Schizosaccharomyces pombe: one gene and its partners. The protein of the gene in region 3 binds, or shares a complex with, the protein of the main gene of each other region. Each region holds a gene or a part of one and is shown on either strand. Other genes may lie near its edges. The genes, in order: mis19, hhf2 and mis16. A codon is read from its position in the direction of its gene.

The links.
Region 1: the proteins of mis16 (region 3) and mis19 are in contact, whole or in part, in a crystal structure (PDB 6S29), measured with the Schizosaccharomyces pombe proteins. Residues at the interface, in NP_587881.1 of Schizosaccharomyces pombe: Trp33 (codon at 1,949), Lys34 (codon at 1,952), Val37 (codon at 1,961), Pro38 (codon at 1,964), Tyr41 (codon at 1,973), Asp42 (codon at 1,976), Leu43 (codon at 1,979), Val44 (codon at 1,982), Ile45 (codon at 1,985), Thr46 (codon at 1,988), His47 (codon at 1,991), Pro97 (codon at 2,229), Asn98 (codon at 2,232), Phe99 (codon at 2,235), Asp100 (codon at 2,238), Glu101 (codon at 2,241), Phe106 (codon at 2,256), Arg113 (codon at 2,277), Ala114 (codon at 2,280), Gln115 (codon at 2,283), Ala116 (codon at 2,286), Gly118 (codon at 2,292), Tyr120 (codon at 2,298), Thr121 (codon at 2,301), Ile122 (codon at 2,304), Asn293 (codon at 2,817), Tyr295 (codon at 2,823), Leu296 (codon at 2,826), Asp310 (codon at 2,868), Arg312 (codon at 2,874); in NP_595535.2 of Schizosaccharomyces pombe: Glu56 (codon at 2,257), Thr57 (codon at 2,260), Glu58 (codon at 2,263), Leu59 (codon at 2,266), Leu60 (codon at 2,269), Val61 (codon at 2,272), Leu62 (codon at 2,275), Arg63 (codon at 2,278), Phe64 (codon at 2,281), Arg65 (codon at 2,284), Glu66 (codon at 2,287), Phe67 (codon at 2,290), Gly68 (codon at 2,293), Val69 (codon at 2,296), Asn74 (codon at 2,311), His75 (codon at 2,314), Pro76 (codon at 2,317), Ile77 (codon at 2,320), Leu79 (codon at 2,326), His80 (codon at 2,329), Leu82 (codon at 2,335), Arg83 (codon at 2,338), Lys85 (codon at 2,344), Ser86 (codon at 2,347), Arg89 (codon at 2,356).
Region 2: the proteins of mis16 (region 3) and hhf2 are in contact, whole or in part, in a crystal structure (PDB 6S1R), measured with the Schizosaccharomyces pombe proteins. Residues at the interface, in NP_587881.1 of Schizosaccharomyces pombe: Glu29 (codon at 1,865), Leu32 (codon at 1,946), Trp33 (codon at 1,949), Asn36 (codon at 1,958), Phe39 (codon at 1,967), Leu40 (codon at 1,970), Arg349 (codon at 2,985), Lys357 (codon at 3,009), Gln362 (codon at 3,024), Asp366 (codon at 3,036), Asp369 (codon at 3,045), Gly370 (codon at 3,048), Ser371 (codon at 3,051), Pro372 (codon at 3,054), Leu374 (codon at 3,060), Leu375 (codon at 3,063), Phe376 (codon at 3,066), Met377 (codon at 3,069), Gly379 (codon at 3,075), Val415 (codon at 3,183), Ile416 (codon at 3,186), Arg419 (codon at 3,195); in NP_595566.1 of Schizosaccharomyces pombe: Ile30 (codon at 1,048), Lys32 (codon at 1,042), Ile35 (codon at 1,033), Arg36 (codon at 1,030), Arg37 (codon at 1,027), Leu38 (codon at 1,024), Ala39 (codon at 1,021), Arg40 (codon at 1,018), Arg41 (codon at 1,015), Gly42 (codon at 1,012), Gly43 (codon at 1,009), Val44 (codon at 1,006).

Annotation. Positions count from the first base shown.
Region 1 is NC_003423.3:1,321,640-1,324,937, forward strand, and holds mis19 (protein Mis19), read left to right. Parts: upstream 1-2,091; coding exon 2,092-2,430; 3' UTR 2,431-2,735; downstream 2,736-3,298. Other genes in the region: double-strand siRNA ribonuclease Eri1, read left to right, coding at 1-194; ERMES complex subunit Mmm1, read right to left, coding at 313-403, 448-656, 820-1,461; C-5 sterol desaturase Erg32, read right to left, coding at 2,836-3,298. UniProt on the Schizosaccharomyces pombe protein: Component of the CENP-A recruiting complex that ensures the integrity of mitotic spindles through maintenance of kinetochore factors mis6/CENP-I and cnp1/CENP-A.
Region 2 is NC_003423.3:1,363,689-1,367,138, forward strand, and holds hhf2 (histone H4 h4.2), read right to left. Parts: upstream 1,297-3,450; 5' UTR 1,136-1,296; coding exon 824-1,135; 3' UTR 501-823; downstream 1-500. Other genes in the region: hht2 (histone H3 h3.2), read left to right, coding at 1,470-1,880; protein Sfi1, read right to left, coding at 2,528-3,450.
Region 3 is NC_003421.2:582,355-586,108, forward strand, and holds mis16 (histone H4 chaperone, CENP-A recruiting complex CENP-A chaperone Mis16), read left to right. Parts: upstream 1-1,771; 5' UTR 1,772-1,780; coding exon 1,781-1,865; intron 1,866-1,937; coding exon 1,938-2,043; intron 2,044-2,115; exon of another isoform or gene 2,116-2,131; coding exon 2,132-3,233; 3' UTR 3,234-3,539; downstream 3,540-3,754. Other genes in the region: SPOM_SPCC1672.11C (P-type ATPase P5 type), read right to left, coding at 3,552-3,754. UniProt on the Schizosaccharomyces pombe protein: Regulatory subunit of the histone acetylase B (HAT-B) complex. The complex acetylates 'Lys-12' of histone H4 which is required for telomeric silencing.

The DNA of each region.
Region 1 (3,298 bases), on a different chromosome or scaffold from region 3:
GAATGCTAGAGCATTGGGGTCTTCAGTTTGAGGGAAGCGAGCATCGCGGAATAGATGATGCGAGGAATTTATCACGAATTGTTAAAAAAATGTGTTCGGAAAACGTAGAATTCGAATGCAATAGGTGGTGGATGGAATATGAGAAGAACGGCTGGATTCCGAATCGAAGTTACCCGCCATATTTCGCAAGCTAATGCTTAAAATTTTTATTTCGACTTCATAATCAATATATTTCGTGGAATCTGGTAGAGATAAATTATCGTTAAAATTCATAGATAAAAAAAATTTCCGAAAATTACGTCAAAAGAATGTTTAATCTTCATTAGATGACTCCTCTTGAGGTGCATGGGACCTCGCATGTCCTTCTTTTGCAGAGGTTGGCCATAGGTTGGGAATTGCGATCCTGTGGGAATTAGTTAGTATGAATCAATTCATACTCTCACTTACTGTTGAAACTGAGGAGAAACACAACGATTAGTAAACCATTGTCGAATCCTTGATTCGATCAATTGTGTAATTTTAGGAATGTCTTGAAGCTTTGACCTAGCTCCCACAAGAGAACTTACTTGTAGCGAGATCACGAAATTGGGGTCAAATGACAAGTTCATATATGCAGGCTGGCCTGCACCATTGCTTGGGGAAAAATAAATCATAATCTAGGACAAATGTTAGAAAAGACCGTTATTAAAAGACGAAAAAAAATAGTCTATCGTAGAATACCACTGTGATACGATTTAACACTTGATGTTTCAAACCCCCGGGGGAGGGGTGTAAAGAATCGTAGAGACTATATACTATTAAGGTTGTAAATAGACTTACCTTTCCGACAAATTTACAAATCCTAACTGTAATGGACAATGGTAAGGTTGCAAACGCAGGCTTTGGAAAATTAAGTAAAAGCTTTGTGTCAACGGTGCAATTAATATTGTCAGTCAGAGAAACAAGCATCTCCGCTCGAAGCTGTGAGGAATTATGCTGATGAGGTAGAACCCGACAATGACTGAAAACCGGAAATCCGTCTCCAAGCGATAAATCTCGCACGTAAATATGATCAACCATAGACTTGTCTTGAGCACCTTTGTTGAGAACAGTTTCAAGTTTTCTCAGGGCAACATCGTTGGAACATGCATCATAGCGAAACTGTATGAGAGCTTGTGCTATTAGTACATTAAACCAATCCAATGATTCCGGCTCATGTTCATTAACATCGTAAAGCAGATTGAGTATATGAGGTTCAAGGATAGTAAGAGGCTTTTTGTACCTTTTTTTGTTATTACTTAAAGGAGTTGAAGGAGTCTCGTCAGGTGTTTCATTCCCCGTTTGTTTTGGAGAGTTTGCTACAGACTTTGGAATTGGACTACAAAATAAAAAGAACCGCAAAAACACATAAATAATGGCCAGTGTCAACAATTGTCCAACTATTAGTCCTTGTGTAAAACTCCCCTGCGGCAGGTGTATCATTTTTGTTCATAAATATACTAAAATACCTCGAATTCGCTAATCCCGAGAATCAAAACCGTAAACGGAAAAATTAGTCTTCGCTCTACAAGAAGAGTATAAATTAAACGTCTCAAATACAAGAGTTAACTGCTTAGTAAGTTGAGGCTTTCTGTAATATATATATATATTTTTTTTTTTTCTTTCTTGTAGGTGGTCTACGTAGCATTTGCAATTACAGAGTTCATTGAGCCTATTTGTTTGAGTCCAAAACCGAAATCAACTAATTAAACTAATGGACTTCAATTAAAAAAGATTATTAGTAAATTCATTAAATAACATGATTTGTTTGAGAAAAGCAACTAATTATATCAAATTATTGACTTTAGATATATAAATCCTTTATGATAATATATATTACATTATGAAATTATAAGAGAATATTACTTTCTTGTACTCTTCACATGTGTATGGCATGCTCATACTCAAGGGTAGGAAATACACTAGTACGCGTTTTACTCTTCCAAAAGGAGTATTAGTTAAAGTATCTTTAATAAACGACAATAATTAGTTATTCTTTCTTTCGTATATTAACGGACTACCTAATTTTCGAAAGTTTCTCCGTCTGTGATATTTTATTAAAATGTTAAGCAAATGGATTTAATGCCGTTAGAAAAAGCAAGAGCAATTGAGATTGCATTTGATAATGTGTTTCATAATACAAAAATTCCGGACAATTTGCAGCAATTTGACGCCATATTGAAACGACTGGAAAGACGGAGATTTATACCAACGGAAAATCAGAAACCAAGAGTGTACGAAACAGAGCTACTTGTACTGCGATTTCGCGAATTTGGGGTGAAAGACAACCATAATCATCCAATAAATCTTCATTCTCTTCGGTCAAAAAGCTTAATCAGGGCACAAGGTAAAAAACTTGATTTACATAATCGAGTATTTCTAAGAAGAAATGTTAGAGCAGTAAAAATGTGATTAGTACCTTTTATACGATAATTTTGATGCATTAGTAACTTACCCAATGTGAACTTTACTGAACTTTATACACAACTTACTACAGAAAAGACTCAATCACTACATGTTACGCATATTTTTAAAGCGTTAATTTTCTATCAAAAACAAAACTGTAAGCGTTCATAACTTCTTTTCAACCCAAATTCACGTTTACATGAATTAAAGTCATAATTCAGCAATATTTTCCATTTTAGCAAAAAAAATCGATATGAGTAGCTTTAACAACACGGTGAAAAAATACCAAAAATAATAATTCTATATAAATCAAATCAAAAGCGGTTTTATTTCAGCTTCTCTCTCAAAAGACAAGCTAGAACATAAAACAAAAGAGAGGGGAGTGTATCAAATAATAAATCTTAAAGTGAATTAGTTATCCTTCTTGCTGGCATAAGTGCGATCATCTTTACCCTCAACGGTGTATTGAACTGTCTCCATAAAGCGAATGCGCTGCTCTTGCAATTTCTCATTGCGAAGTTCGGCGTCAAATAATTCTTGGTCTGGTTGACGATATGAACTGCAAAGACGATCAAACAAGGTGAAAAACTGACCATAATTGTAATTAAAGTACATATGGTGAGCAGCGTGATGAGCAGCACCATTTACGACAGCGTTGTTAGAAAAGTATTTGCCGTCGTGGATGAGTACGGTCCAATAATTTACTGATCCAAAAAGCAATAAGTAAACATACTTATTTAAGGGAAAGAAAAAGGGAAACATATGATATGGAAGGGATTGACTGTATCCATCAAGATAATGAAAAGCGTGAGAAGAGTAAGGAGTTGGAACAATCCATTTGTGATGAAGCTTATGCAAAGGAGCGTAAAGCCAA
Region 2 (3,450 bases), on a different chromosome or scaffold from region 3:
TAAATTAGTAGGAGGACGTGGGCTATTTCGAGATGAAAGCGAAATTTCACTCTTTACGCTTCTCAATTCCGACAGAGTGATAAAACGGTTTGCCAAATGCCCGTCTATCGCTATTGGCGACAGTGTACCAAAGACATCCAGTTTTGCTTCACCTACCGATACACTAAGATACTCAGCTGAAAAATTTGCTTCGAGAATCCGCTTTTCCTTAAAATACAGTCACATCGTTTATCAAAAATTATAGCCACAATACGTGAGTAATAAATTCACGCACAGATGAGTTTCCCTGTTGGGAAAAGAAGACAGCTTGCTTTCAGTACATTTACCTTACAATCAGCTTGTAGAGTTCTCTTTGTATAATATAAATAGATGGGTTCGTGCCCAATTTTTTCTCAAATTGAAGCCTACAATATATTAGCATAGTTATGATATGACTCCAACCTTCCAAACATACATTAATGAAACGTGATAACTACAGGCTAAATTTGTGTGTTTTCTTGTCCTCCCCCCCATAAATGTTAGATAAAAACAATTTATTTATTTATTTCTAAAAACAGAGCTTACTCCCAGAGTAAGTCAGACACAAGGTTGGGTAAAAATTTCTCAGACGTGCAATCCATAATGAAAGAAAAACAAATCCCTTCAATAAAATTGCATTTCTTCAAGGAAAACCAACCATTTTCGTGCAAATAAATATTCATTGAATGGATATTAAAAGAGAAATGAGTAAAGATAAAAAGAGAAACAACTATTAATATGCAAAGTAGGAAAAAAAGAAAAAGAAAATACAATTCACTTCAATATCGAAAAGTGTGCAACCAGTTTAACCACCGAAACCATAAATGGTACGGCCTTGACGCTTCAAAGAGTAGACAACGTCCAAGGAAGTGACAGTCTTACGCTTGGCGTGTTCAGTGTAGGTAACTGCATCACGGATAACGTTTTCCAAGAAAAGCTTGAGAACGGCACGAGTCTCTTCGTAAACCAAAGCAGAAATACGCTTAACACCGCCACGACGAGCAAGACGACGAATGGCAGGCTTAGTAATACCTTGAATGTTATCACGAAGGATCTTACGATGGCGCTTAGCACCACCCTTTCCCAATCCTTTACCACCTTTTCCACGACCAGACATCTTATATGAGTAATGGGATTCCTGTAAGTTCAAACAAACTGACTACCAATTGATCAATTTACAATATCAAAAACTAATTTTCAAGCGCAAACACTGAAATTCCTATGATTTGAATTTCAATGGCTTCTCGTACTAGTCGTAGTAGTTACTGTGTAAGTGCTGTAGTTAGGCGTCCATCTCCATATATATATACATTTTTTCAGGTAGCGGGGAAGCCGAAATCGCAATCTTAAATCAGGGTTAGGGTTGTGATTGACTGAGGTATATATAGCAGGAAGTGTCCACACCCGACGTGGAAAGAACCTTTTTGTAAGTTTATTTACCGAATTACGTTATGGCTCGTACCAAGCAAACTGCTCGTAAATCTACCGGTGGTAAGGCACCCCGTAAGCAATTGGCCTCTAAGGCTGCCCGTAAGGCCGCTCCCGCTACTGGCGGTGTCAAGAAGCCTCATCGTTATCGTCCTGGTACTGTCGCTCTTCGTGAAATCCGTCGTTACCAAAAGTCTACTGAATTGTTGATTCGCAAACTTCCCTTCCAACGTTTGGTCCGTGAAATTGCCCAAGATTTTAAGACTGACTTGCGTTTCCAATCCTCCGCAATTGGTGCTCTTCAAGAAGCTGTCGAGGCTTATCTTGTCTCTCTCTTCGAAGATACCAATCTTTGCGCTATCCATGGCAAGCGTGTTACCATTCAACCCAAGGATATGCAATTGGCCCGTCGTCTTCGTGGCGAACGCTCTTAAATGCATTGATTGCCTAATATTTTATTTGGTATATTGTGTTTATTGGGTTTAAGTTTTGCATTTCCTAATTTTTTCAATCATTGTCATGTATATTTCCTTGGTTTAATGTCGGGTTTAGCATATTAATTTTTATGTTTTTGCTTTCTCACTTGACTTATTCTGAAACACTGTTTTAAAGCTTTGTAGTTTTTAATTTTTTTTCCTTTGTTAATCTGTTTTTATTAATTTAAATAGTTTTTTTTTTATTATACGTATTTCATTTTTGTAAATTTTTCATTGTAAGAAAAAAATTTTTTTTTTAAATTTGTTTGACCGCCTGCTACTGTAAGTCGTAGTACTTGCTTTGAACATCTTATGGAGCATTACTCTCCTAACGATTTGGTAAAGTCCTTTTAAAATTATCAAGTGAAGCGTTCACTTCCTGCTTAAAGTTTTTTTTTTTTTTTTTTAAGTATTCCACACGTACTTGTAATGTGTTGCAGGATTATTGATGCTACTGTTACACGAATTTTCGACTATGTATTAAACTTTTCAAAGCAATGACTATTATATTATACATATCTAAAGGTTTATCAATATACTCTCAACTCATTTCAAATGGTTAGATAAAAAAAAAGAGAACTAACTCTCTCCGTCAATCGTAAATGTCAACGGGTATTAGGAGGTATAGGCCGCAGAAACTTGGAAAATCGAGATATGGGAGTCTTTAGTTCCTGCTTCCAGCGATTTTCAAAATTTACAGACTCATCAGTGAATTCATCATTTTGCATTGGCAAAGTGGTATCAAATGTATGCATATAGCGTGAAGTGCGATTGCCCTCAATGGTAGCTTCTGCCTCTAGTAATGATGATTCTTCTTGATTAAGTTGCATACGTTGCAACCATTTTCGGAAATATTTGCCCAATAATTTATTTTTCTTTTGCTCGTGGAACCTATCCGCTTGCATTACTAAGCTAGTAACTCGGAACATCAGCAAATGCCAGGCATCAAACGCATTTCGCAACGTTTGTCTATTAAATTCACGACGCTTCCAATCACTAATATTGAAATAAAATTTTATAGCACGCAATTGATATCGCCAAAAAACCATGGCAGAACGCATTAGTCGTTCATTATAAAATTGGTCTGCCTGAGACATTATCTCCTTTTGGTGATTGTAACGAAAAGACCATGCTTCGTACGCTCTAACGACAACTTTTTGCGTTGAGAGCTCTGCTGTGTCAAGCATTTGAGAAACCGACAATAACCGCGCTACCCAAGCATTCCAGCATCGCAGCACAAGTTTTTCTGATTGAACTTCTCGAAAGTCAACAACTTTGTTTTCCAGTCGTAATAACATATTAGTCTCACGAAGGTATCGCCAATGTTCGAATACAACTCGCAAAGTCTTTCTTTTGAAAAATAAATCAGCATTTTGTTGCATTCCAACCTTTCGATTATAAGACACTACCCATTGATTCCAAACACCGATAATTTCGTTAGTAGTATGAAGTTTTTCCGCGCGGATCGATAGCTCTTTAATGTCCAATAATGAAATACGCCATTTGATTAGATATTGCTTAGCGATTT
Region 3 (3,754 bases):
TTGCCTTTTTTTACTGATGACCTGTTTGTTCTCAGTTTTGTGATTATTTACGCTTATGCACACCGAAAATTTCATCTTTGAATACTTTGAAGTGTTTGTATTTTTTACTGTCATTAACAAAACCGCATTTGAAGTAGCAGGTTAATAATAATGACTGTTAAGACTGCGGTTCATAAAATTTAATTATTTTGCTTATTGTTTTTTTCAATTTCTTCTGTGCCCCGATTAATTAAGGTGTATCCGACAACCAAGGTTTGGATGCTCGATTATGTAGGCAACACAAAAATTTACATGATATGGATAGATCTTTCATAGAAATACCTCTAAATTTTGATGAATTTACTTTAGCAAGAAAAAAAAAGAATGCAATGTTAAAAACTGTTACAATAATTATAAATATACAATGGGTACCAGAAGTCGCTATGAAAACATCTGAAGTAATAAGATTACGATCAACAACTCAAAACGTGCAAATATACTCCAATTATACTAAATTCCTCTCTTATAATTGATATACTGATATTAATTGCCTCCTCAAAATACTTAGCAAACGCAAGCATTATTCCAAAAAAAAGTCGAGACGAATAACGAGCTAGACCACTGTTGGCATGCATTTTAAGGCAATGCGGTATACAAATTCCTCAGTATATCAAAATAAATAACATTAGAAAGAAAGTACTCATCTGGGAATTTTTTTTTTTTAATTCACAACTATATTTAATAAATATTTTAAATTAAAATCAGTAAATTGCTATGATGAGGTTAAAAGAAATAAGAGACACGATTTGAATTGTACTGTTATCGAATAATTTATCAAGTTAGCATGTTAAAGTTTCCACGACAAGTACCCAAAAGTCTGACTACGTGCTATTAAAGCTAGCTAATCATATAAATTAAAATCAGCCAAAACTCATAGTCATTTCACAAGTTTCTCTTTTCAGCCATTGTTTACATATGAAATTTTACTTAGTCTCCAGAACATCGTTTCTAATACCCTAACCTAAGGTAAAAACCGTCACAACAAATTTACTATATATAGGGTCTGTTCAGTTGATGATTCACCATCATCAGTAGGTTTTAACTTACTTTGTTATATAAGTAAAGTAAAATCAATCCTGAAGTCAAGTATGATGGTTGGAGTCTCCGGACCAAGAAAATGCATCCGTTCCGTCTTCAGCGAAGAATTGAGTGGCTTTCCCGGTCGTTGACTTTTTTCCATGGGTCAAGGATGGGATTGTCTCCCAGACATTTTTAATTAAAAAAAGTTTATATTTGATTAGTTTAGATACGTACCCAAAGTTTGCAATACTACATGATTTGTTTAATAAATTTACGGTGTACTGTAAAACAATTCGTAGAGCCAACAGTATAAATATCCCATTGATGGCTGGGTTCAATAGTTTTATTTTTAGTGTAAATATAATGACAATCTGTTTATCAAAGTATACTGAGATTATAATATTTGTTTTTGCCAAATGGTTTTATAATTATTAGAGCATGATAAAGACGATGTTTGAGGAATTCTTCTCACTATGAATGTCTGTTTTCATGGAGACGTGGCATCAAGTAATGGTTTTTAGAGGCATGTTCAAATTTGTTTTCGCTCATTGAAACTTGTTTTCTATATCGCTGTTCATGAATTTTATTTTATTTTTTTTTTATTTCAGACTTAAGAGTGCGCTAGATTTATTTGGGCATCTTTAAATAATGTAAATTACTTATAACTCCAAAACTTTTAACTTGGCAATCTAGTTTGGGCCATTGTGTAGTTGCCCAAAACATGTCAGAGGAAGTAGTCCAGGATGCACCTCTCGAGAATAATGAACTCAATGCCGAGATAGACTTACAAAAAACAATACAAGAAGGTATGATTAAAGGGAATTCTTCATTAATATATATTATTATGCCGTAATTACTGACGATTATACTCGTTTCAGAATACAAACTTTGGAAACAAAATGTTCCCTTTCTGTATGACTTGGTAATAACCCACGCTTTGGAATGGCCTTCTTTGACAATTCAATGGCTTCCTGACAAAAAAACGTACGTTGCTTGCCAAAGTAGTTAGGCTATGATTATACTGGCCTTTACTTCAAACCATCTCATCAGTTTTCTAACTCGATTCTTGAAGAATACCAGGTACTGATTACTCTATTCAACGTCTTATTCTTGGCACTCACACATCTGGTAATGATCAAAATTATTTACAGATTGCTTCTGTGCAATTACCAAACTTTGATGAGGATACCACCGAGTTTACTCCTTCTACGATTCGAAGAGCACAGGCCACGGGCTCGTATACGATTGAAATTTCACAAAAAATCCCTCACGATGGCGATGTCAATCGTGCTCGTTACATGCCTCAAAAGCCTGAAATCATCGCTACCATGGGAGAAGGAGGAAATGCTTATATTTTTGATACAACTTGTCATGATGCCTTAACTACAGGTGAAGCACTTCCTCAAGCAGTTTTGAAGGGCCATACTGCTGAAGGTTTTGGTCTTTGCTGGAACCCGAATTTACCTGGAAATCTAGCAACAGGAGCAGAGGATCAAGTTATCTGTTTATGGGATGTTCAGACACAATCTTTTACTTCCTCTGAGACAAAAGTCATTTCCCCCATAGCCAAATATCATCGTCATACTGATATTGTTAACGATGTTCAATTTCATCCTCAACATGAGGCATTATTAGCATCGGTGTCGGATGATTGCACTTTGCAAATTCACGATACTCGGTTAAATCCAGAAGAAGAAGCTCCCAAAGTTATTCAGGCTCATTCTAAAGCCATAAATGCCGTTGCCATTAATCCCTTTAATGACTATCTTTTAGCAACAGCCAGTGCTGATAAAACAGTAGCTCTTTGGGACCTCCGTAATCCATATCAACGGTTGCATACCCTGGAAGGACACGAAGATGAGGTATATGGGTTAGAATGGTCACCTCATGATGAACCTATATTGGCATCCAGTTCAACTGATCGCCGTGTTTGTATTTGGGATTTAGAAAAGATTGGAGAGGAACAGACTCCGGAGGATGCCGAGGATGGTTCTCCAGAATTACTATTTATGCATGGAGGCCACACAAATCGCATCTCAGAATTTAGTTGGTGTCCAAACGAGCGTTGGGTGGTTGGAAGTCTTGCCGATGATAATATCCTTCAAATATGGAGCCCTTCTCGTGTCATTTGGGGTCGTGATCATGTTCAGGTTTCTCCTAGGGATCTGGAGTAAAGTTGGCCATAGAAAAAAACCCAAACTCACTTTTCCATCCTTCTACGCTTCATCTGTTTTTTGCAATATTCTTTACAATACAGAGTCATATGGTAATTGACTGCTCTCTTTTTTTCAGCTTTTGTATAATTTAAAACAAATGATCTTCGTCGCCTTGTAAATACATCAAAACTACTGTTATAAATCAGACTACATTTCTATAACACCAGAGATTAAATGTTTTGTTTGACCATGATAAAGTAAAAAGGATAGTAACTATTAATATTATACATAACAGCAAAAAAAATCTATTGAACAACAAAAGGGGGATAATATATCTCAAACTTGTTCATTTTGCAAGTCTGCGAATAGGCGTTTGTATAGTTTCTTCGAAACTTTCGTTCGGCGATTAAGTAAACGATTATTCAGGTGAGATATAAAATTGGTCATAGAAATGAAAATGTAATTTTGACCGCTGGCTGCGAGTAAATAATAAATAACACCAGCGAAGATCAAAAAGTTCTGGAAACTTTTGGACGTAG